3 linked regions of the Oreochromis niloticus genome follow. The protein of the gene in region 3 purifies or fractionates together with the protein of the main gene of each other region. This does not show direct contact. Links are inferred from orthologs where the notes say so. Each region holds a gene or a part of one and is shown on either strand. Other genes may lie near its edges.

Region 1 (7,716 bases), on a different chromosome or scaffold from region 3:
TCCATCCTCCCTATTCTGGTATTTTAAAGAGTAAGCAACCTAACTAATAGGGTTCTAAAACTCCCAGCAAAAAAAAAAAAAAAAAATAGGGACCTTCCCCAAAGGAAAAAGTACTATAGCTTACTAGGGTATATTAGACTTAACAGTTACACAGTTAAGTCTACAGTTACAGTTATACAGTAATGGACTTCTAGACATTTTACATCAGATTAAAACTTTCGGTGTAAGATTCGGATAATTATTTATTAAAAGCTAGACATTTTAAATGAGAATAAGAAAGAAAAGTATGTCTTTGTGCCCCCCCTTTTCCTGTTAATGCCATATCGGCCCCCCCTGGCTAAACTTTGCTAGCAGCTTCTAAACAGAAAGCTAACACACAGAAATTAAAACACCTTTTTATCTTCTTTGAATTTTAATCTTCTTCATTTAAAAGGAAAAATATGTATAAATTCAATGACTAAATCATAAACACTTGAGTTGTACCGATTCATTATTTTAGCAACTGAGTATTCTATTAATTGCTCAGTAACAAATAAACGCTTTCATCCTATTGATTAGTAATATAAAATATTCAGGAGAAGAAAAAAGAACAGGTCTTTGTTAAAGTTCAGTGCTCATTGGATTAAATCTTACAAATGTATACAATCAAATAGTTTAAACAACTGAGTGCGTCCGCACACAGCTGCTTATTAAGTAACTAACCAATAAGTTTAAGGACAGTGTGAAGCTCATTAGGAAGCTCATTGCGCTAGGAGAGCGATCCGGTCATGATTCTATTTTTTTTTTTACCCAGTCCAGCTCCTACAAGACAAGGAGCAGGCCAAGACGGACTACAACCAACAGCTGGAGCACCTGCCAGATTGGATATGTCAGTTACCACGGTAACAAATTTGATAGGCAAGATATATGTCAGCAGTGGCTCGGGGACCACTGTGCAAAGCACCAACACATCGCCTGGATCACAAACAGTAGCGGTTTTTGATACGGGCAACACGGGTGGTTGCCCGGGGCGGCATAGTGGTGGGGGACAGCATCACGGGCATCGGCAAAAAAAAAAAAAAAAAATTTGCTCGTACTCATGCTGCCCCGACATCATGCGCATTTTGGGAATGTCGTAGGCACCAATCGGTTTTCTATCGCCCATTTGCTGGGAGTAAGGGCGCCCTCCGTTTGCGAGGTGCGCCTGCTGCTTGCGGCACAGGGAGGAGAGGGCGGGGCGGCGGGGATTCTCTGGCTGGCGCAGCATCTAATAACTCGCAAAATAAAACAAAATAAAAACAAACCAACAAACACAAAAACACCAGACATTATGATACAGACTTATAATTTGCACCGATGTTTTTTCGAAATTCTATACGCAAAAAGTGAGCGCTAGAGCCCTCGGTGCGCCTGCTTGCTGCTGAAGTCAAAGTAAACTTTATTGTCATCTCCGCTATATACAGTACAGTATATAGAGAGACAAGACGACGAGGCTCCAGTTACAACAGTGCAAGTAAACAAACAATAAATATAAGAAGAGCAAGAAAATAAATATACACTTTAGGATTAGGGGTAAAGTGATCAATAACAATTTAAAATTTATAATTTACAGTTTGATGATTTAAAGTCTCACACGCAACCCGTCGAAAGGGGAGGGGGGCCGGCTGCTTCCAAATAGAGCACATTTCATTGATAATGTTGTAAATCCAAGCCCATTATGTATTCATGATTTGAATCCTGGGTTGTGCGAAATCCCAGAAATAAACCCTAGACAAAGCGAATCTGTGAAATAAGGTGTAGGTCTATTAGGTTATGATTCTCGGGTTGGGGGATGGGTGTTCATACTGGAGTGCAAAATTAAAACCAAGATGGACAAGAAAAGTTCAAAGCCATCAGGTCCTCAGTTTAGAAAAAAGAGAAAAGAGGAGGAGAAATGAGCAAAATATACAGGTAAGCAGATGTGTCATTGGATAATGGCAGGTCATGTATCCTGAAACAATCAGAATCAGAATCATACTTTATTAATCCCTAAGGAAATTATGTAGGTTACAGTTGCTCCATGAAGAAATGGTAAAAATAGTAACAGTAACAGACTAAACTCCAAACAATACATTATGTTACAGATTTTAATATTAATTAGTCAGTGTCAGTTGTAGATTTGTCCTGTTCTCATTGTATGACGAATTATGATGGCTGTCCGGTAGCCGTTTGCATACTATGCATACTCTCTCTTCATATATGTGTGTGTGTGTGTGTATGTTTCTCTGGTGAAATTCAGTATGGTTCCGACAACAGTTTTATGTTAATGTACAATCCTTAATATGTTTTGTGTGTGTGTGTGTGTGTGCGCCAGAGGGAGTGTTCGCCCAGGGCACCAAACAGGCTAGGACCGCCACTGATCACAAAGCAGGTTATTCAGTTTGTGACCTAAAGGGCACAGAAGAAAGTGAGCGGAGCCTTGTAGAACAAACTCACCTTTGCTGCATTGATGTTCCCGGTCTGGACTTTACGTCCAGACTCTCTCTTCACGTTCTGGTCTGCGGAGACACAAACACACACAGGAAGTTACTGTCCGCATACACGCAGTGCTTTTACTCGTTATTCTTATTTGTACAGTGATGATGCGTTTTCAATAAGCAGATGTTTCGTCTGAACAAGAAAACGATAAACCCTGACTCTCATACTAATCAGTACTGATTATGAGTCTTCTCTCTGGATCAACCATAATGATCAGAAACACAGTGACATGTTCCTAATGACATAATCAATAACTGAGTTCACACTAACACAGGTGGAGGATTCCACCTTCACCCCATCACATCACATGAACGCCTGATTTTAGCCTCAAAGGAACCGTTAGCCTGCTAGCTCCGTGTTCATGCTGAGTAACGGGTTAGCTTAAGTTAGCCTAGCATCCATCTGCTAACCGGGCTAACATGCTAACGACCGCGCTTTGCTTGGTGCGTCTCCGGGTTGCTAGCGGATCGAAGGCGGCCGCGGACGGCCTGAGTACGGTTGTCCGTGGTTTTGTAAAGGCTTTGGAAGAAAATAAGAATACTCACTGAGCACTAAAACCTGCTGGCCGATCATTTTCACAGCGCGTGCCGGACAACAGCCTGGAAGCTTCTGGGTGGCACGAGGAGAGAGGAAGGCTCCACCCACAAGGGCGGGCAAACAGCCCGGGTCCGACTAATCAGAGAGAACATTGCGTGACAGATAGGCAGATCCGCCAATAAACTGAATGAGGCAAAAGGGTCGCCCTTTCATGGAGACAAAATCAGCCCTTTAGTTTCATATTATTTCCGTGTATTAAAAACTGTTTCCGCTGAAAATAGAGCAGCTTCTACAATAAGCACCAACAGAATTCACAGTTTTGGATGAACTTCTTAAATTGCAATTTTTGCTTTATTTAAAGAAACAATTTATGCTCAGGAGCATGGGCGTCTCAGAGTTTTTTCTAACCCTTTCCGTTTGTAAACTGAAAAATGCTGAAATTAGCGGCAACAGTTTTCCACATTTAGCTCCAAACCTTATGAAAATATTTTTTTCGAGTCACTTTTCACAACATTTACGAAAATATTTGTAACTTTTTATATTTCAAACTTTTTATATTTCAAACTATATTTAATCTAAATACTATAATTAAATGTAAATGTTACATCTAAATATTATATTTAAATCATCAGATAGTGTCTCAGATAAAAACGGAACATCCAACTCTTGGAGAAATGATGCTGATGGGACACCTGTATTCCAAAAATATAGTGGTTCAAAGATGGCGTGTAAGAGAGTCACTACGGGGGCGTGGACTAGGCTGGTGTTCTATCCAGAAGAACTGCAAATGCTTGGCGAGTATATTCCGTGCCTCATCCAAATTTCATATGACATATAAGATGGAAATCACAAGCTGATTCGTTGGAAGTTTGTTTTTCATGGTGCAATAGATGGATACAGCAGGATGTTGATGTTTGATGTCAGATACTCTGAATGCGCTCTTTACTGCAGTTTCATCTTTGAAACCCAAAACCTTCTCCAGCACAGGTCTCCATACCCACCTTGTCATTCTCTCAAAGTGGGTTTGTCCGATGAAATGACTGCGATTTACAAGAGTATATACAAGCATTCACAGCAGTATATTTTTAACAAACTTTTAAAATTGTGACCTCAACCCTAGGATACTAGTGATGTCCTTAAGACTGATGACTGATAATTAAAGGAGGCATTACACCTCATAACTTGTGGGGTGGCTATTCCTAGAGCAGGTTGTCTATTAAGTGGAAAGTTGGTGATTCGATCCCCGGGTGCTCTAATCTACAGCTCCCAATGGGTTTATCTGTGTGTGACTGTATATGAATGCTGGATTGAAAGGGCGCTTGTATTAATGGGGTAATGTGATCTGCTGTATAAAGTGCTTTGAGGATTCAGAGAAGAAAAGGCCTACAGTTAGGTTCATTTATATTTTGACACTGACAACTTTTGTTTTGTTACCTGTTTACTGAAACATATTCTAATTATAGTCATATTATAGAAATGACATGTAGACTTAGCTTTAATTTAGGGTATCCATATTCAAAGTGGATGAAGGGTTTAGGAGTTTCTTCTTCTTAATATGTGGCACCCTCTTTTTGAAGGGACCAAACGTTAATGGACAAGTGACTCAAAGGCTATTCATAGGCAGGTATGGACAATTTCTTCGCTATATCATTATCAATTAATTAGACAAAAAGCCTGGATTTGATTTGAGGTGTTGTGCTTGCATTTGGAAAATTTTATTGCGAACAGACAACATGCGGTCAAAGAGAACAGAACAGAAAAACCCATCTGAGAAATTGCTACAATGTTAGAAGTGGCAAAATCTACAGTTTGGTAAATCCTGAGAAAGGAAAAAAGGACAGATGAACTCAGCAATGCAAAAAGACCTGGGTGTCCAAGCAAGACAACAGTGGTGGATGATTGCAAGATCATTTCAATGGTGAAGAGAGAACCCATCACAACAGTCAACCAAGTGTAACAACACTCTCCAGGAGGTAGGCATATCGATATCCAAGTCTACCATAAAGAGAAGACTGCATGAAAGTAAATACAGAGGGTTCACTGCAAGGTGCAAGCCACTCATAAGACTTACTGATGATGTGACAAAAGACAGAAGCAGCTGAATGAATTCTGAGGTGTTCAGAGACATACTGCTTGTCCAGCTAAATGCAGTCAAATTGATTGGGCCTCAGTTCATAATACAGATGGACAATGACCCAAAACATACAGCCATAGCAACCCAGGAGTTTATTAAAGCAAACAAGTCGAATGCGAAAAAAGAGGAATGATCAAGTCTGTTACTTGATTGAGCATGCATTTCACTCATTGAAAACTAAACTTAGGCCACAGGCCCACAAACAAACAGCAACTGAAAGCTGGTGCAGTAAAGGCTAGGCAGATCATTAAAAAGGAGGAAACCCGGCATCTAATGATGTCCATGAGTTCAAAAGGCAAACAAAAGTTGCCAGCAAAATTAAAAATTTACATTTTACTTTAACTTATTTAATTTGTTCACATACTTTTGAGCCCCTCAAATGAAGGGATAGTGTTAAAAAATAATTTAATTCATCACATTTTTATGCAATCTTTTTGTCCAACCCACTGAATTAAAGCTGAAAATCTGCAGTTCAACTGTATCTGAGTTGTTCCATTTAGTACAGAACCAAAAATAGAAAAGCTTTCTCTATACAAATATTTGACTGTATGTAAAAACCATTCAAATTTACCATTTACAAAAAGCAGCCAGCTAAATTACACGTGTAAGAAAGCCTACCGAGCAGTATGATATCCCAGTGGAGACGGCAGGTCTAGTTGGTCCAGGTGCAGTGCTGGATTCCTAAGGAAATATTTACATCAAGGACTGTTACCTACCAAATAAATATATAAGTGAGGACTAGCTAAATAATTTAGCTATGCTTGTCTAGCTAACACTGCCATTAACTCGTCCAAAATGCTATACAAATAGATAAAAAGATCAATATTTAGTTTCCCGTAAACATTTAGATTTAACATTTAGTTTTAAATATAAAAAGTTACAAATATTTTCATAAATGTCCGAAAAAGTGACTCGAATTTTTTTTAATAAGGTTTGGAGCTAAATGTGGAAAAACGTTGCAGTTAATTTCAGGGTTTTTTTGTTTCAGTTTACAAACAGCGCCCTGTAAGTCGCGGCGTTGCAGGATTTCGTCATGTTCCTGTTCTGATGATGCTGCAATTATTATGTCATCAGCTATGATGTGTAAACCCTAACGGGCAGATTTTATCCCAAATGGGAGTCTGAGGAAGCAGAACCGGCCCCACAGAGTGTTGAAAGTCCAGAGCTTTGACAACGGCTCATCCAGTCAGATTCAAATTGGAGTTGTTACTGAGACAGCTGGGTCATCTATCAGAAGGGATAGCATACATTTTCACTGCTATGCAGATGACACCCAACTTTATCTATCCATGAGGCCAGATATCACACACCAATTAGTTGAACTGCAGGAATGTTTTAAAGACATAAAGACCTGGATGACCTCTGATTTTCTGCTTCTAAATTCAGATAAAACTGAGGTTATGGTACTCGGCCCTGAAAATCTCAGAAATATGGCATCTAACCAGATTCTTACTCTGGGTGGCATTACCTTGGCCTCCAGTAACACTGTGAGGAACCTTGGAGTCATTTTTGACCAGGATACGTCCTTCAATACAATATTAAACAAATATGTTGGACTGCTTTCTTTCGTATTTCCTGTGTAATATTTCTAAAGTTAGAAAAATCCTGTCTCAGAGTGATCCTGAAAAACTAGTTCATGCATTTATTACTTCTAGGCTGGTCTACTGTAATTCATTATTATCAGGCTATTCTAAAAACTCCCTGAAAAACCTTCAGTTAATCCAAAATGCTACAGCAAGAGTACTGACAGGAACTAGAAAGAGAGAGCATATTTCTCCTATATTGGCTTCCTTTCACTGGCTCTTGTTTAATCCAGAATTGAATTCAAAATCCTACTGCTCACATTCAAGGTCTTAAATAATCAGACCCCATCTTATCTTAATGACCACGTAGTACCATATCACCCCATGAGAGCACTTCACTCTCGCACTGCAGGCTTACTTGTTGTTCCTAAAATATTTAAAAGTAGCTGTCAGGCTCCTCTTCTGTGGAACCAGTTTCCAGTTTGGATTCTGGAGACAGACACGAGCTCTACATTTAACATTACACTTTCCTTTTTGCTAAAGCATATAGTTAGGGCTGGATCAGGTGACCCTGAATTATTACTAGATGTAGGCTGGAGAGGGATTTCCATGATGCATTATTTCTTCTTCAGGCACCTTTTTCACTCACTATGTGTTAATAGACCTCTCTGCATTGAATCATACCTGTTGTTAATCTCTGTCTCTCTTCCACTGCATGTCTTTTATCATGTTTTCCTTTTTACACCCCAACCGGTTGCTGCAGATGGCCGCCCCTCCCTGAGCCTGGTGCTGCCTGAGGTTTCTTTCTGTTAAAAGTTTTTCCTTCCCACTGTTGCCAAAGTGCTTGCTCATAGGGGGTCATTTAATTGTTGGGTTTTTCTCTGTATTATTGTAGAGTCTACCTTACAATATAAAGTGCCTTGAGTTGACTGTTGTTGTGATTTGGCGCTATATAAATAAAACTGAAAAATTGAACAGTTTCAATCTGGCTTCCATTCATTTCACAGTACAGAAACGGCTCTAGTA
Region 2 (7,759 bases), about 12 Mb from region 3:
CCACCCAGCTCAGTGACAGCAATATCCCATAAGCCTTAGCAAAAATAATAATACAGGAAAAAGTGGAATTTTTTTTTCCAGCTGATAGTGATATTGTTCATTTTGTTTTTGTTTTACAAAAAAGTATTTCAATAGTGTTTATACTCTCCATTTGTACTAAAATCACAGATTTTAGCATTCATTTTTATTCTGAAAGGGCTTCTTCAAGTGAAAGTTCTGTATTATATATCACTAAACTGATGTAACCATTTACAAATACAAAATCAAGACATTGGGGTTGCTTAGGGTTAGGGTTCTTAGCAAGTCAAATGTTTAATACGTTATTTATAAAGTCATAAAAAGCTTGGTGCCCGCACACTTTTCTCTGCTTTATTTGTCAAGTTTAAGTTTCTGACCATTTATACTGTAGAAGACTATAAACTTGACTATCATTATTAATCTGTAAGTCTTTAGTGAAATCCTGAAAATAGAACTCAATAAGTGCATATTGTATGAACCAAGTCAAGATCCCCTTCTTTTGTGCCGCCACTCATATGGTGACAGGTTAATCACCACACAGCAACATAAAAGACTTCTTTTTTTTAACTTGTAAATTCAAGCTACTCTTGTGTAAAAGAATCAATAAAAAAGTACTTCAGAGTTTCTTTTTTAACTTTCTAGCCACTTAAAAACAAAGGGAAAAAAATCCACTGCACAGTGAATAAATCTCCTTGAGTATGAAAACATCCAAGGGCAAATTCAATTTTTGCGGTCCACACACAATCGCATGCATGCACATATAAAGAAAGCACAGCATGCAGTTTTTTTTTTCCCAAATCCTGCTCCATATCAAATTGCACATAAATACAACTTTTGTTAATGAGAAAGGCAAGCAAGTGGGCAGATGAAGGTGGAGGAGAGAGTGCAGCAAAAGGGACCTTGAGAGTGAGGAGAACTAGTGTCTTGGGGGCTGTAGACCACAATCTTAGTGTTGACCCTTGTGGCTCTGGGGCCTGCTGCTGAGGGGGGAGCTGCGGCAGGTTTAGGGCTCTTTCCAGAAGCCAAAGAGTCCTCTTCTTCAGGAAACAAGACACACAGAAAAAAAGAAAGAAAAGAAAGAACTGACCGGGATAGAGAGGAAATCAGAAAAACCTGTAACACAGTGAGGATGAGCGATTTGTAGATGAGTTTGCATGACTATGCCTGTCTTCAGATACCCTCCTTTTATGTGGAAAACCGTGCTGTGTGGGGTGAAGTGAAGATTGGATTTAGTTAGTGAGGTCAGGTAAGGGAAGAGTGCGGCACAGAACCTCTGCTACAGCGTGTACAGAACTTAAATGGGGGAACGTGATAATTTCACACACTTAAAAAGCAAAGAGAAGAGCAAAGAAAGAATATAACATAAATTGTTAGAAAAAGAAATTTAAAATTCTGAGTCTTTGCATCAAAAATCTAATCTGTAGCCACATACACACACGCTTTTTGTTATCAGAAATTACTGTTACCAACAACTGGGCTTGTTTGCATTGGAAAGTAGGTTGGTCTCAGGACCCCCTCTGACCAGTGTTCTTCCCTAATGTTCCCTAATCCTTGGACCTTTGATGTTCTCCATTCCCACCAGCTCATACACCACTCAAGCATAACATTATCACCAACTGCCTAATATTGTGTTGGTCCACATGGACTCCACTAGATGCCCTAGAGGTGTGCTTTGGTATCTGGGACCAAGAGGTTAGCAACAGATCCTTTAAGTCCTTTAAGATGTGAGGTGGGGACTCCATGGATCGGACTTATCATATCTCACAGATGTTTGATTAGACCGAGATCTGGGAATTTTGATAGTTTATACAATAACAGTTTATATATCGATTTTAAAAAAAACACTACATACATAATTTATGTTAACATAATAAAGATTTGTGGCATAACTATGCTACACTTTACAAAAGACAGTGATGAGTTCTTTCTCCTTCTAGCCTTGGCTTTCCTTAAAGGTGCAGGGTTTTATATTGCCGTAAAAAAAAGTGAACCCATAATGATTAAAAAGAGCAAAACACATCCTAAACTTTCCTGACTTTCAGAGGGTTAAACTGTAGGTGACAAATGACAGCCCACTTTTCCTCAGTCAGTTGTGATCTGGGGGGACGGATATCTAAATCCTAGCTAGTGTTTGTGGCTGCTGCATCCTGGACTGACCAATGTTGGGTTAGGAGGACCCAACAGAGGGGGAAAACATGAACGGACTAGGATAAGACAGTATAAATGGGGAGACTAAAACTTCCCAGCCTGATTTCTGCAATGTTTCTTAGTTAAAAGAAGCCAGACTATGTGCGCTGAAAGATATTCAACATTTAAATGAAAAATATACATATACTTTCAGTTGCATTACATCCCATTCTTCAGATACTAACCTCTGGCTTCTGTGTGCGCTGTGGTCATGCTTGTGGTGTGGGTGCCAGTTGAAGGGTCTACACCACAGCTTTCAGCTACCCTCTGTCCTGCACACATTGCCTTCAAAGTCTGGAAGACCGCTTGAGGAGCCACATTCATCTTCAGCAAGTCGACTATGATTCTGTGAGGAGGAGGAAGGGGGTGAGGACATAAAACCACGGTCTTCTCCTCCATGTAAACCACAGTTAAGGCCGATTATTATTAAACATACTTAAAAACTTCCTGATCCACAGTGATTCCTGCAGCCTGAGTAAGTTCGAACAGCTCCATTTCTTCGGCGCTGAGGACTTTCTTCTTCTTTATTGCATATTTCTGCACGTTAGATGTGACAACCAGCGCAGGGGAGTCAGGGGCGGAGGGAATCGTTTGTTGTGCTTGTTGAGACATCACTAATGAACTGAGGGGTTAGATTAAATAAGAAGGTAAAATAAGATGCAATGACCAAAAGAAAAACAGCGTAAACGATTGTTGCCCGCCCACGGCGAAACACGGCGTAACTGAACCTCCTCTCCGAATCAAAAATATCAAAATTTATCAAAAATATAACCACAATGAGACCTAAATGATTAACACAGCAAACGCCTGATTCCTCAAAATTAAAATATACCTACCATTAAGAGCGCAATGCCCAACGTTCAGTTGCTTCTGTTTGAGCCAAGCGTGACGCGCCAAAAATACGTCATTGTCTTGCCTTTCATACGTAATGCACGCAAAAATAAAATACAAGAAAAAAGTGGGTTTTTAAAAGTTACATTATTCAGTTGTCCGTCACGTCTTCATTTAAGATTTTAAATCCATGTTTTACAACCCCATATTAATTTAAAAAGTCTTTCCAGGGGGAAATCTTGCCGCTACTCAGCTATTTTCAAACGCCCTTAGGTATTTATTTGGGCAGGGTTTTTTTTCGTAAATTGAACATAAGTCACTGGAAATATATAGGCACGGTAGCCTATACTAGTAGAGATGCTAATAGAGCGAAAAAGAACGAAACCGGAAGTGCTTCTGGGGATTGTCCTCTCAAACCTGCTCGGGTCTCTGCGCTGTCGTCCAAGAATGGCCGCTGCTGCAGCAGGAATAAACAAGCAGGGCGCCGTAGCGACGATGGAGCCCTGTATCCGACACGGGAGAGGAGCTAATGGGAGCACGGTTAAGGTTGTAATGGTGTCACTACAATCTTGGATCAAACTACATGTCGATCGCTGGTGTTTGGCTGTTTTGTTATGTTGAGCGAATGACCGACATCAGGCTTGCCTCTGACGCTTTTGATTTTGGGCGAATGCTGCTGCGTTGGCGTCGTTGGCAGGAGGATGTCAGAGCTTTATTTTATAAATCGGAACAGAGTCATGTGTAAACACTGTTTCACAAGACGGTCATTTTTTTAGCGCTGCTTTATACCTTTAGACTTGTGCACGTTGACATGGCTGGTATTTGTGCCTGCATCATGCTAGCAGATGAGCTGGCTGGTCTTCTGTCGCTAGTTGGCGTCTGTGCTAGCTGTGCTTCACTGCTGCAGTTCCTCTGTGAGGGAGCCCAGCTCAGAGTGTGACCGTGTCAGAAGCTGCTTTTCGTACTGCTTTCAATGCATTCACTTAAAGATCACTGAAAGTAGAAATCAGAAGTGTTATTCAACTGTAACGCTACGGGTCAAGATGACTGCATCCGACTAGTTATTGTTCTGTCTGAGACCTTATAGAGCATCTCTCTGCAGTAACCCAGAAGCATCTGTACGCCCCAGTGATCGGGTGCTTTAATACTGGTATATGTTTATTTGCAGGTGCTGGAATGTGGTGTTTGTGAGGATGTCTTCTCTCTCCAGGGGGGACAAGGTCCCTCGTCTTCTGCTCTGCGGCCACACGGTGTGCCATGACTGTCTAACCCGGTTGCCCCTCCATGGCAGAGCGGTCCGCTGCCCCCTTTGACAGGCAGGTCACTGAGCTGGGTGAGTGATGTCATCACGCTTTCCAGCATTGTATATATAGCGGACACATATGTGTAATACCTGCTATATAAATCATTAAGTGAAATTCAGTTGCTGAATCCTGAGACTGCTCATTCTTCTAAAAACAAGAGCATAAAAAGAGCTATCAAAACCAACTAAGAACCTTAGAACAACATCCTGTGATCTGCATGTTTCTGTTAATTTGACTTCATGCCAGCCCCTTAAAAACAAAAGACTTTTACCCAGAAGTTGTGAAAAATTGGGTGTTTATTACAGAAAACATTATTCTCGCTGCAGAAATCTGTGATCCAGTTGAGGCTAAAGTTGTTTTTGAGGGCATGGAGCTGTACAGTGCTGGCATTATTTGCCTTTCAAAGTGAGTTTGCTTTCTTCACATTTGCTTAGGGGACTCTGGAGTTTGGGGTCTAAAGAAAAACTTTGCTCTGCTTGAACTCTTGGAGAGACTCCAGAATGGAGCGACTAACCAGTCAGGAATGGCAGAGGATGCCTTGAAAGGCATGGGAGAAGTAAGGCAGCTATGATTTTACTGATAAGAGATGTGTCACCTTCACACCTTCTGCATGCTTTATCCTCAATCCATCTTTTTTTAAACTAGTGTATAATTCGCTGCGATGAGGATGAGAGCCACACAGCCTCCATGTACTGTACCGTGTGTGCCACCCACCTGTGTGGCGAGTGCTCTCAGCTCACCCACTCCACTCGAACACTGGCCAAACACCGGCGGGTGCCACTGGCCGATAAGCCCCATGAGAAGACCCTGTGTCCACAGCATCAGGTCCACGCCATCGAGTTTGTCTGCCTGGAGGAAGCTTGTCAGTCCGGGCCCCTCATGTGCTGTGTATGTAAGGAGTATGGCAAGCACCAGGGCCATAAGGTAGCTGAAAAACTTGTTCCCATATTAGATATAGTCACTGAAAAAGATATGGTTATATATTGCCCTATTTTCCCTAACAGCATGCCGTTCTTGAGACTGAAGCCAATCAGATTCGTGCATCCATTCTCGACATGGCCCACTGTATCCGAACCTTCACAGAGGAGGTGTCCGAGTACTCGAGGAAGTTGGTGGGCATCGTGCAGCAGATAGAAGGTGGCGAGCAGATAGTTGAGGATGGAGTAGGCATGGCACACACTGAACATGTAAGACAAAGGGCTTCTTAATAAAATACAAATGATCATGCTTCTGTTTTGGCACTTATATCTTTCCCGTGTGTGCTTCAGGTCCCCGGCACAGCAGAGAGCGCCCGCTCCTGCGTCCGAGCTTATTTTGCAGATCTGCACGAGACCCTGTGTCGACAGGAGGAGATGGCGCTGAGCGTGGTGGATGCACATGTAAGGGAGAGGCTCATCTGGCTGAGGCAGCAGCAGGAGGATATGACCATCCTGCTGTCTCAGGTGTCCACCGCCTGCCTGCACTGTGAGAAAACACTTCAGCAGGTAGGAGATGTGAGGAGTTTAGGAACTCGTTTCCTTCTTTTTCCTCACCCCAGTTAAGATCAAAGCTGTGGTGATTTGTGGAAATGCTTGTGTAATGCCTTTAAAGGTGTGATGTGCGTTGCTTCTTATGTGCTTTAGGACGACTGCAGAGTTGTTCTGGCAAAGCAGGAGATCAACTGTTTGCTGGAGACGCTTCAGAAGCAGCAACACCAGTTCACTGAGCTGGCAGATCACATTCAGCTGGATGCTGGCATCCCAGTCACCTTCACTAAGGTACATACTGTCGCTGTTCATAGAAATTTGCTTCTGTAAACCAAGTATGTCACAAAAAATGGAAAAGCCTTGGGTTTTCCTATAAATGTAGTAATGACATTGAAAATGTCCTTTCAGGACAACAGGGTCCACATTGGTCCAAAGATGGAGATCCGCGTAGTGACTCTGGGGCTCGATGGCGCTGGAAAAACCACCATCCTCTTCAAGCTGAAGCAAGACGAGTTCATGCAGCCCATCCCAACCATTGGTGAATGCACTTGCAGTTTAATGGTTCACAGAGTTACTTTAGAGTCAGGATAATGCAAGTCTTTTTTTTTAATATTATCCTATATTAAAGCTTGTTTTTAATCTTTGTCCAAGGTTTCAATGTGGAGACGGTTGAATATAAGAACCTAAAATTCACCATCTGGGATGTGGGTGGGAAGCACAAGCTCAGACCCCTCTGGAAACACTATTATCTAAACACTCAAGGTATGTTTTGTGCTTTCTGTGCTTTGGATATTTATAGCATGTTCTTGAATTTAACTAGTACTTTTGTGTGACTTGGACCACTGACAGGTGAAGTGAATAATTTGGAGCATCTAGTTAAATGCACAGTTCTGCTGGGAAATCTTGGCTTTGTGTGTATTTCACTTTGACGTTCACATACAGTATATAAAAGACGAATGTAGTCACGGTGCCCATTGGGTTGCAGAGTCTAGTTTTAAGGCCTTGGCTTCTAGTATTTTGGCCAGAGGTATATTGGAGCCAGAAGTAACCATATTTGGACAAGGACATGGTCTGTTAGGGGACTTAACTGCACAGGAGTTCATATTAGGTGTTTATTAAAAATAATGTAAAACAGGTGAGGTTTTCTGACTGAAATTAGCAAAATTGAGGTCCAGCAGAGAGCTGATTGCAGGTGGTGTGGATACCCAAGTTTGTGAGGCGATGTAGGATTTTAAAAGTCATTCAATACTGTATTTGCATCTGCTGAAAACCTCTGGGAGTTTAAATCCTGGTGACACTAACTTTAATAGCAAGGTCAGTTGTCAACTTTCAGAAAATAGCATATGATTTTCAAACTTATACATCCATTGATGCATCTGCTCAGTGTCTAAAGGTTTAGCATTGGTGGGCACCAGTATTTTTGAATGAAGCTATGGAGATAGTGGATATACTTGACAAAAAGTGTTGAAGATGGAGCTGTCTGCTGGGGGTAAAGAGGAAGTTAACAGAGAACACTCAAAGATGTAGTGAAAGACGACAGGGTTAAAGTGACAGAGGAGGGTGCTAGGGTAGAGTGACGTGGCAGATGGCGTCGCTGTGACGACCCCTAAAGGGAGTAGCCAATAGAAGTTCTCTACAGATTGACTCAATTTCGTAGGCAGACTCAAGGGTGTGGTGGCAGTGAGAGGTCAAATGTACTGTGATGTAAGGAAACACCAGCAAATGGAAAATAAAAAACTGCAAAAACACACAAAACACAACCGAAATTAAATAAAACACAACAAAATATTTTTACAGCAACAATGATGTGACTGAACAGCTGCAGAAGTGACAGAAACCAAAACATGTGTAGGGTTTAAATGAAACACATGTAATGAAGAGAAGAGGAAGTTTCATCAGTGATGTGAGGGATTGATTTGTGGTGTGAGCTTTGCAGCATTTTTTTTGTTTCCA
Region 3 (8,178 bases):
CAGGCGAAAGACTACACCTCCTCAGAGCCCAGTTCATTCTCAATGAGCTCGAGAGCGCCCTCTATGGAACAGGAGCTCCACAGAGGGCGTAACAGTTTGTGACCAATGAGGTCCCAGGGACATGCAGAACAGAGCGATCAGACTCACATCTTGCTGGCGGTGTCGTAGCAGACGATCTTCTTGTCCAGGCCGACGCTGACCACCAGCAGGTCGCTGGTGGGCGAGAAGGCCAGGCCGGAGCCTGGGGCTTTGTGGGCGCCGTCGAACATGTGCAGCTCCTTCTGGGTGTTGGAGTCCCACAGTACCACCGTGCCGCTGTCAGACACGCTGCCCAGCAGGGAGCGCTTCACTGTGGACAACCTCAGGTCGTGGATGGGCTGGAGATCAACAGATTATCAAGCAGCAATATCAAACATTCCTCTGCTGTCTTTTAGTTACAGTTTTTATATACACGGACTTTTACTTCGCTTCTGAACAGAGTGAAGCATAAAAACTGAGCCCCTCCTCCGCTCTCTGGTTAACTCTGAGCCTGCAGAGTTGTTCTTTTATTAAAAACTGTATATAACTTCATAAGGTAAGGTAAATAAACTGAAAGCACACCTCCACCTTTTGGCTAGTCCCTGCTCGTCCTCCTTCACTACAGTCATATCATCAACTCACAGCTCACCTGTCTGACTCACCTGAGCAGCTGCACATGAACAGCTTCAAAGAAAATCTTAAACAAACAATATGAAAGTGGAGGTCTGACCTGGTTGCTGCCGTGGCCGAACGGCCTGCTGGACAGGTTGGTGGTCAGACTGTGGAGGACCAGGTCGCCGCTGGTGGAGCCGGAGGCAACGTAGCTGTCGTTGGCATTAAAGGATACGCAAGTCACCTCCTCCTTATGGTCCTAAGAGAAAAGGAGGCCATATTTATCCCGCTCTGTGCCTCAGAGGTAAAGGAAGCCGGAGGTGGAGTGAAGTCCTACCTTGAGGGAGCGGTGCAGTCTCTTGGTCTTCAGGTCCCAGATGTGCACGCAGTGATCGAGACCTCCGCTGACCAGAAACTGAGACGAGGAGCTCAGACACACCCGGGTCTGCTTTTTCTGAACACACAGGTACAAACCAGCACCGTTACACTTTACAGAGACCGAAGAGCTCTCAGTGAGATACTTACCAGACTGACTCGGCTTTCTAAAACTACACAGCATAAGTAAAATCTTTAGTTTCCCGCTTTTTCCTGGAACCTAAACTTCACTAAAACACCTGGGAGAACAGCTGGTATCATATTTCTAAAGCTCAGTGTTTTGGTTTTGGGAACTGAAGGAGAATTTGGACCCAGAGACAAACAATAAAGTCTCAGGCTTTATTCTTCTTTTATCCCTCTGCAGTCTTTGAACCGCCATGAAAACGAGCAGAGCTGAGACTCACCCCGTCGGCCAGCTCCACCACCGGCACAGGAGTCGACTTGAGGCTGGAAACGACCAGCTTGTCCCCGCTGCTGCTGGCACTGACCAGGTACTGGTCTGAGAGAACTGGTCAAGGCTGAATCACAGATCTAAAGGTGATTTATGCTGCTCACTCTGGCAGGGCAGGTCTGCATGATTCGCAGTTTAAAATAAGCTTTCTTTGTCTCATACTGTTCATGACCTGTCTGAAAGAAGCTGCTTTAGCTCTGCCCCCTTTAAGACATTTTTATCGTGATCGGCTGCCCCTTGAAATTAAACCGCCGACATAGATCAAAAACTCATCAGGAAGTGCTTACTGAGCTCAGGGTGACCAAAGACATGTATACAATCAGATAGAGGAGTCGCCCCCTGTTGGACATGACAAAGACCGCAGGTTTCCATCTTTCATATCCAGTCTGTGGTGATTTAGTGACAGCAGGATACTGTTGGAGCTCCAGCAGGCCTGAGCGACAGGGTGGCTTGTGCTGTGTGGGTTAAACTGCTCCAGCGGCGCCATGGAAACCGCATCCCAGATCTTCACGCAGTCTCCGGTCGACACCAGCCGTGTCACCTCCTCCATGGCAACAACTGGAGAAAATAAACACATGCACAGAGAGTTGTATCCTTGCAGACCGTCACTGTTAGTTTTACAGCTCATTATTTATTTTGTTAAACTTGCACAAACAACATAATTATATAGTTTTCCATTAAAGCACTGATCAGAACTACATGACTATAGAAGGGAAATGGTAAATGGCCTGTATTTATATAGCGCTTTTCTAGTCCCTAAGGACCCCAAAGCACTTTACACTACATTCAGTCACCCATTCACACACTGGTGATGGCAAGCTACATTGTAGCCACAGCCACCCTGGGGCGCACTGACAGAGGCTTCATGAATTTATACTTCATGAATATCCCCCAGGCCTCTTTTTATATATTAATCAGTATTTGATATAAGTGCAGGTCCTTTTGCTGAAAGATACTCAGATTAATAAAGAGATTTTAATTTGTTGAATATTATATAAAAACATGGCTGCCTTACATGTCACCTCAGTAAGATCCAAGCAGTAGTTTAAGGACAGATTTTATGATCTTCTTGTTGGTTTTTAAAGACTCCTCGAGCTCTGCCTGAGACCTTCCAGCGACACCTCGTTGGTGGTCAAGCTGTAAAATCTCTGTTTTTGTTTTACTTTTTGGCTTTTATAAACCAACAAAGCCAAAAAATAAACTTGTATCTATTAGCTAACTAGTATCTAACTAGATTCTATTTAATTTATTTTCGATTGAGTTTATTTTCTTTACTGTTCAGCGCTCTGAAACCTGGTTTTAAACAGTGTTATATGAATGTAAACGAGGTAGAGATGAAAAGCTGGTGCAGTAACTCGTATCGGGCAGTAAAAGTACACAGTGCTGAAGTATTTCTGTGAAACCTTCTATCGGATGTTCGTCGTTTTTGGGGGGTCTCTATTGTAGTCTGAAGGCAGACGGACACGTGAAACTGAGTCTGACGCCTGTGAGGACTTTTAACGGCTCGCAAGCTGTTTTTGGTCCATCAAACAGAAACTTTATCGACTTTGTTCCGTTAACTTGAACCTGCAGCTACAGGTAGCTCATGCTAACCGGCGAATAGCTCGGCAGCTTTAAAGTTAACAAATTGTCGCGAGGCGAGCGGAAACTACCGGGAATGTCTTCACCTGACCCTCAGAGTCTGTAAGATTAGCCATACTTACCCAGAAACAGTTTTTAATCACCGAAAAGTCGAAACTGACTTTGTTTTGGACGCGGCCGTGGCCAATGAACCGCCACTACGGAGCACCAGGAGGGACAAACGGCGGAAACGGGATCGTACTTCCTCTGTTTGTATTGAAGTCTAATCGAAATGTACTAAATATACAATATCAAAGCAACAATTAAAGAAAAACACTGAATAAAATATTTAATTATTGTTATATTTTATATGAAGAAAAGAGGCATATAAAAACGTGGCTTTATGAAGAAAAATAAAACAGAAGTTTAGTAAATATAGGTTTCTACCGCATAATTATAGTATAATTATGAAATTCTTAAAGTATTTTCGAATTATTTTAATTACTGATACCCTTATAGTTTATTGTATTTTTTTTGTATTTATTTTATAATTTATTGTTTAAACAAGGCCGATAAAAAGTCGCTCAAATAAAATTCAATATGATCAAACCATATATATAGAAAATGTTAAAAAAAAAAAAAAAAAAACACAAAAAGGAGCTTGAAAAAATTAAAAGATATATAGAAATTTTAAATTGAATTTTAAAAAAGCAGAAAATACAGAAACATTTGAAAGGAGTACAGTAAAAATAAAAACAAAATATTAGTAAAAAATTATATACTAAAATAAATTATTCAAGTAAAACAAACTACAAATGTAATTTGATAAACTGGCTTCATATGCAAAATATTTCAAATTCAGCTAAGAAAAAAAGAATAGTGTATTCAAGACGTTTCTGCAATATAATACCCCATAATTGTATTACTATCATGAAATCTTTAACGTATTTCATGGTAATTTATTTCCTAAAAACATTGTAATTTATTGTGTAAACACAACCTATAAAAATCACTCATTTATATATGAAAAAAATCTCGAAAAATCTCAAAGTTTTCACTTCATTCAAACTGTCAAGTTGTTAACTAGTTAGTTTCTCAGAAGTTTGAGTTAGTAAGTTGCAATTTGAAGATACATAACTTAAAATGTTGTGATAATAGCCCGATAACCCAAACTTTTCACTTCTTAATACCAAGAAAATGTTTTGTTTCGTTATTTTTCTTCCAGTGGCTTAAACAGTCTTCCATACCGTGAATCTGCAGTTACACACGTTCACCTATGAGGGACAGACTTGTGTTCCAGCTATTCGTGGAGTCTACCACTATAGAAGCGAGAGAAGAAGAAGTCTCCCGCCCCATCCGCCTGTTGGTTTTAAACCGAGGCGGGACGGTGCTCGGTTCACTGTGGTCCGTGGATTTCAGGCAGGAGTGTCGACTTACTGTAAAACCCGCTGCCAACATGGTGAGGACAAAAGCCGATAGTGTGCCCGGTTCATACAGAAAAGGTACGGCAACAAATTAAAGGCATTTAATCAGAATTTAGGTTTTTACAGCTTGTTTGTACAAGAACACGTTTTGTAATGTAGTCTGGCGGGCAGGCGGCGCTGAGCCAAAGCTGGTAAAATCATACAAATGTGGCCTCGAAGAAGAGTAGTTAACATATTACATTTATATTTTTACAGTAAAATAATTAAAAGAAAACTGTCAGCTGAAGTTTGTGTATATCCACCGCACGGCTTCCTAAAATCAGCCTCCCGCCAACACGGAGGCTGGTCTGCTGCCCTCTCGGGTTCTCCGGGAGAGGCCAAGATATTTAAGTTAAAACATTTAATTGTCGTTTTATCATCTGAGTCAAAAGTTCTAGCTTAATGTTCTCATTCATCTCACGAGGTGTCATCTTTAATGATCCTTTCCCAAAGTTTGTACGACGTTTACTGCAAACTGGCGCCAGTTTTGAGCGCCGCGGTGCGTCTTTGTGCGCACGCCTCACAAAAGTCCATTCACATATTACATAATTAACGCGTCTCTGTTTAACATAGAAGCCACGCGTGTTACTGTCCATAATGGATGCATGTTTATTAAGTTCTGGGACCTTCTGGTAAATTTGGCTTACATTTTTCCAACACCAAACGGATAAGAATTAAAATTTAAATCTGCTCTGCTTCCTTAAAGACCCGGTTTAAATAGCAGTGAACTGCTCTCATTCACTCTGCAGCTATTTTTAACAAGCTTTCTTTGAACTTTTATTTAACATTCTGCAAATCAGACTTTAGTCTCTTTACGTTCATTTGGCTCAGCTTTGGTCCTCGGTAAACTTCTTCTGGTTTCTCACTGGATCCTTCATAATAAGCTGGTTTCATGTATTTCATTTGCAGCTGTTGCAGCTTCTGCCCCCCGGAAGTCTCTGGGTGCCAGTTCATCCAACGCCACCTCCAACAGCCAGTCCTCCACACCTGGTCAGTCCCAGTTTCACTACGCGCGCGCACACACACACACACACACAGTTCACGTACTGAGGCTGCTGTGATTGTTGTAACTTACAGCAAAGAACAAATATGCCGGCGGGAACCCCGTGTGTCCTCGTCCCACCCCGACCTGGCAGAAGGGCATCGGGGACTTTTTTGGCGGTCCCCCAGGAAGATGGAGAAGGAGAACAGGCGGCCCCAGGAGGTGGAGGACGATGAAGAGGCTGGAGGCAGTGGGATGTCAAAGGCCAGCAGGAAGTATGTGTTGTGCTTTATTTTAAACTTCTGCAGGAAATCTGCGTCCCACCTCACGGTGTAACCGTAACCTCCTTTTAACCCCACGCGGCAGCCATCCACCAACCACTCAAGTCGCCACGAGCTGCATCAACCCTGAGATGTCATTTTAGTTTTAGGATTTCCCGCAGAAATCCAGATCCCACAAAGTGAGAGATGAAGCTCAGTGGAGGTTTGCTGCTGTGTGACGAGCCGTTAGTTTCACCTCCGGTATTTTCAGTGTGGAGCTGAGCCTGCTGCTGTGATACATGGGCCGGGGTAGTTTGATCCACTATAACACCTGAGAAGGTAATAAATGAACCATGTCAGGTGTTGAGTTCAGCTCCAGCATGGAACAATTTAAAATGTAGCATTAACTGCAGTGAACCTGTTGGGTCCGTTTAAACAGAACTAAAGAAAGCAGCTGTTTCTAATTACAAGCAAGTCGTCCTTATAAAAGTGAAACTTATAGCACTTTGTGGTGGGTTACTTAAAAGAAAAGCAGCAGCAGTTTGATACAAATCTGATCTGAGGGTCAGAAATGACAGGAAGCTGCGTTCTGGGTGAAATGACGGGGACTCGTCTTAGCGGGGAAAACGTTTGAATGAATGCTGCAAGAAACGGAGGCCGGTAAAGACGGGAGCTGATGCTTTCCCTTAACCAAATGGCTTGATCCAGAGTTTGGATCGCTGTGAAGCTTTATACGATCACATCTTACTGATCAGGAGTGTCTCACCCATCAGAGTTGTTTCTGAGGGTTCACCGGAAACCTTCAGCAGAGTCTGCAGCAATCAAATGTAAAAACACAGATGCTTTTATTTTGGAAAAACGAAAGTGTTTTCACTCTGCAGGGTTTGTTTTAAAAATTATATTCCCTCATGGTCATTGAGTTAAACCAATCAGCATCAAGCTGCACCAAGAAACCGCAGACCTGCTCAATGACTCAAAGTCCAGTTTCTTAGGAACACCGGTAGCCATGCTTCTCAGCTGATTTTTTTTTTTTTTTTTTTTTTTTTTGGGGGGGGGGTCCCAAAAACACCTCAAATACAGCGGCTGACGATAATCAGATCATTTATTTTCCTCCTTAAATCTTTGCTTTTATAGCTTCAGACGCTCACCCGTCTGGATTAATCTGCAGCTCCTTGTAGGTCCGGAAAGTCTTTAAAAGTTGAAAACTGGCATTAAATTGTTTTAAATCGATCAATAGTGAGACAGCAGAGACTGACTGTTGCATGGATGATGCTAAAATCCGAGGAGAGGCCTCAAACTCGCTGCTGACACCACTCGACTGAATGACAGATTTTAATTTATTCGGGACGTGGCATTTATGTTCCAGCGTCCTGTGGGAAGTTTGATGCCAATGTTGATCAGTTTGGTTTTTGTCGTCCGCAGAGCCCGGCCGCTGCCCGCCGAGGATGAGGAGGACGATGACTGAAGCCTGGATCAGTCCGTCTGACTGCTGATGTACATCTGTATATAAATTCTGCTCAATTCACACTGTATAGTTCAAATTTTGTTTTACCTACAGAATGTCTGTTTGAGATCATTTGGATTTCATCTTTTTTACTAATAAAACTTGACTGAAAAAAAACTGAGGAACAAACATGGCCGTCTCTGGATGAGTTTGTGGGCACGGACTCAAACGTCCAAAACTGGGCTTTATTTATTCTGTTGAGTTACAGATCAATGCTCCTGAGAAATCAGTTTGATTAATAAAATCAGATTCCTACAAAACCAGAACACCAATTGTATAATGTTTAAACACAGCTCCTCTGTTTGTCAGAATCATCTTTGTCATCAATGTTCGTTCATTTTTGTGATTGAAGCCAAGGTACAATCAGTGTTCTCAGGTTAACGACGCCAGGAATGTGAGTCCGTCCCTGTCCAGCTCCACAGAGTGGACACTGAAGTCTCCCAGGCCCTGAAACACACCAGAAAATATCAAAACAGGACAGATGGTCAGGAATTATTCTGCTCCATCAGAGCAGCTTAGCATGATTCACAGTTAAGAATAATCCTCCTGTATCACATACCTTCCCCTCAGAAAAGGAGACAATTTAGCTCCTCCCACCTTAGGCTTTTTTTTTAAGCTTTCTTTTTCTGATTGGACCCTTTTCTGTGACATCATCCAGAGCCAAAAGTAGAAAATAAACTGTATAGATCAGTCTACACTAAGCTCATTACAAACTTTCTGTTTTACAGGAGCGGCTCTGACATGTTTTTAAAAAAACTTTAAACCTGAGTTGGAAAGTAATAATGAAAGGATTCATTTGAGGTCCCAGTGGGTTGTGAAGTAATCTTTCCTGACAAAAGGTCAAAGGTCAATTGCTTTTTGTAAAAGCTTTGCTGAATAAACTGTACTGTCTCCTGTAAAGAAAACCTCTGAATGAATGTGTGGGTTTATTAAAGCCAAGCTCACAAACTCAG

The links. Proteins that work in one complex are often made in the same cells at the same time.
Region 1: the proteins of nedd1 (region 3) and cct3 purify together in Homo sapiens (affinity purification with mass spectrometry; 3 studies listed by BioGRID and IntAct, with this or other methods). This does not show direct contact. The link is inferred for Oreochromis niloticus from reciprocal best matches to the Homo sapiens genes NEDD1 and CCT3.
Region 2: the proteins of nedd1 (region 3) and mzt2b purify together in Homo sapiens (affinity purification with mass spectrometry; 3 studies listed by BioGRID and IntAct, with this or other methods). This does not show direct contact. The link is inferred for Oreochromis niloticus from reciprocal best matches to the Homo sapiens genes NEDD1 and MZT2B.

Annotation. Positions count from the first base shown.
Region 1 is NC_031985.2:35,959,033-35,966,748, reverse strand, and holds the start of cct3 (T-complex protein 1 subunit gamma), read right to left. Parts: upstream 3,199-7,716; 5' UTR 3,070-3,198; coding exon 3,042-3,069; intron 2,517-3,041; coding exon 2,455-2,516; intron 1-2,454. UniProt on the Homo sapiens protein: Component of the chaperonin-containing T-complex (TRiC), a molecular chaperone complex that assists the folding of actin, tubulin and other proteins upon ATP hydrolysis.
Region 2 is NC_031972.2:12,028,348-12,036,106, reverse strand, and holds the start of mzt2b (mitotic-spindle organizing protein 2), read right to left. Parts: upstream 3,199-7,759; 5' UTR 3,045-3,198; coding exon of another isoform or gene 3,042-3,044; intron 2,828-3,041; 5' UTR 2,818-2,827; coding exon 2,642-2,817; intron 2,552-2,641; coding exon 2,391-2,551; intron 1,056-2,390; coding exon 918-1,055; intron 1-917. UniProt on the Homo sapiens protein: Required for the recruitment and the assembly of the gamma-tubulin ring complex (gTuRC) at the centrosome.
Region 3 is NC_031972.2:348,573-356,750, reverse strand, and holds the start of nedd1 (protein NEDD1), read right to left. Parts: upstream 3,296-8,178; 5' UTR 3,160-3,295; intron 2,015-3,159; 5' UTR 2,007-2,014; coding exon 1,871-2,006; intron 1,505-1,870; coding exon 1,410-1,504; intron 1,085-1,409; coding exon 968-1,084; intron 890-967; coding exon 749-889; intron 378-748; coding exon 148-377; intron 1-147. UniProt on the Homo sapiens protein: Required for mitosis progression. Promotes the nucleation of microtubules from the spindle.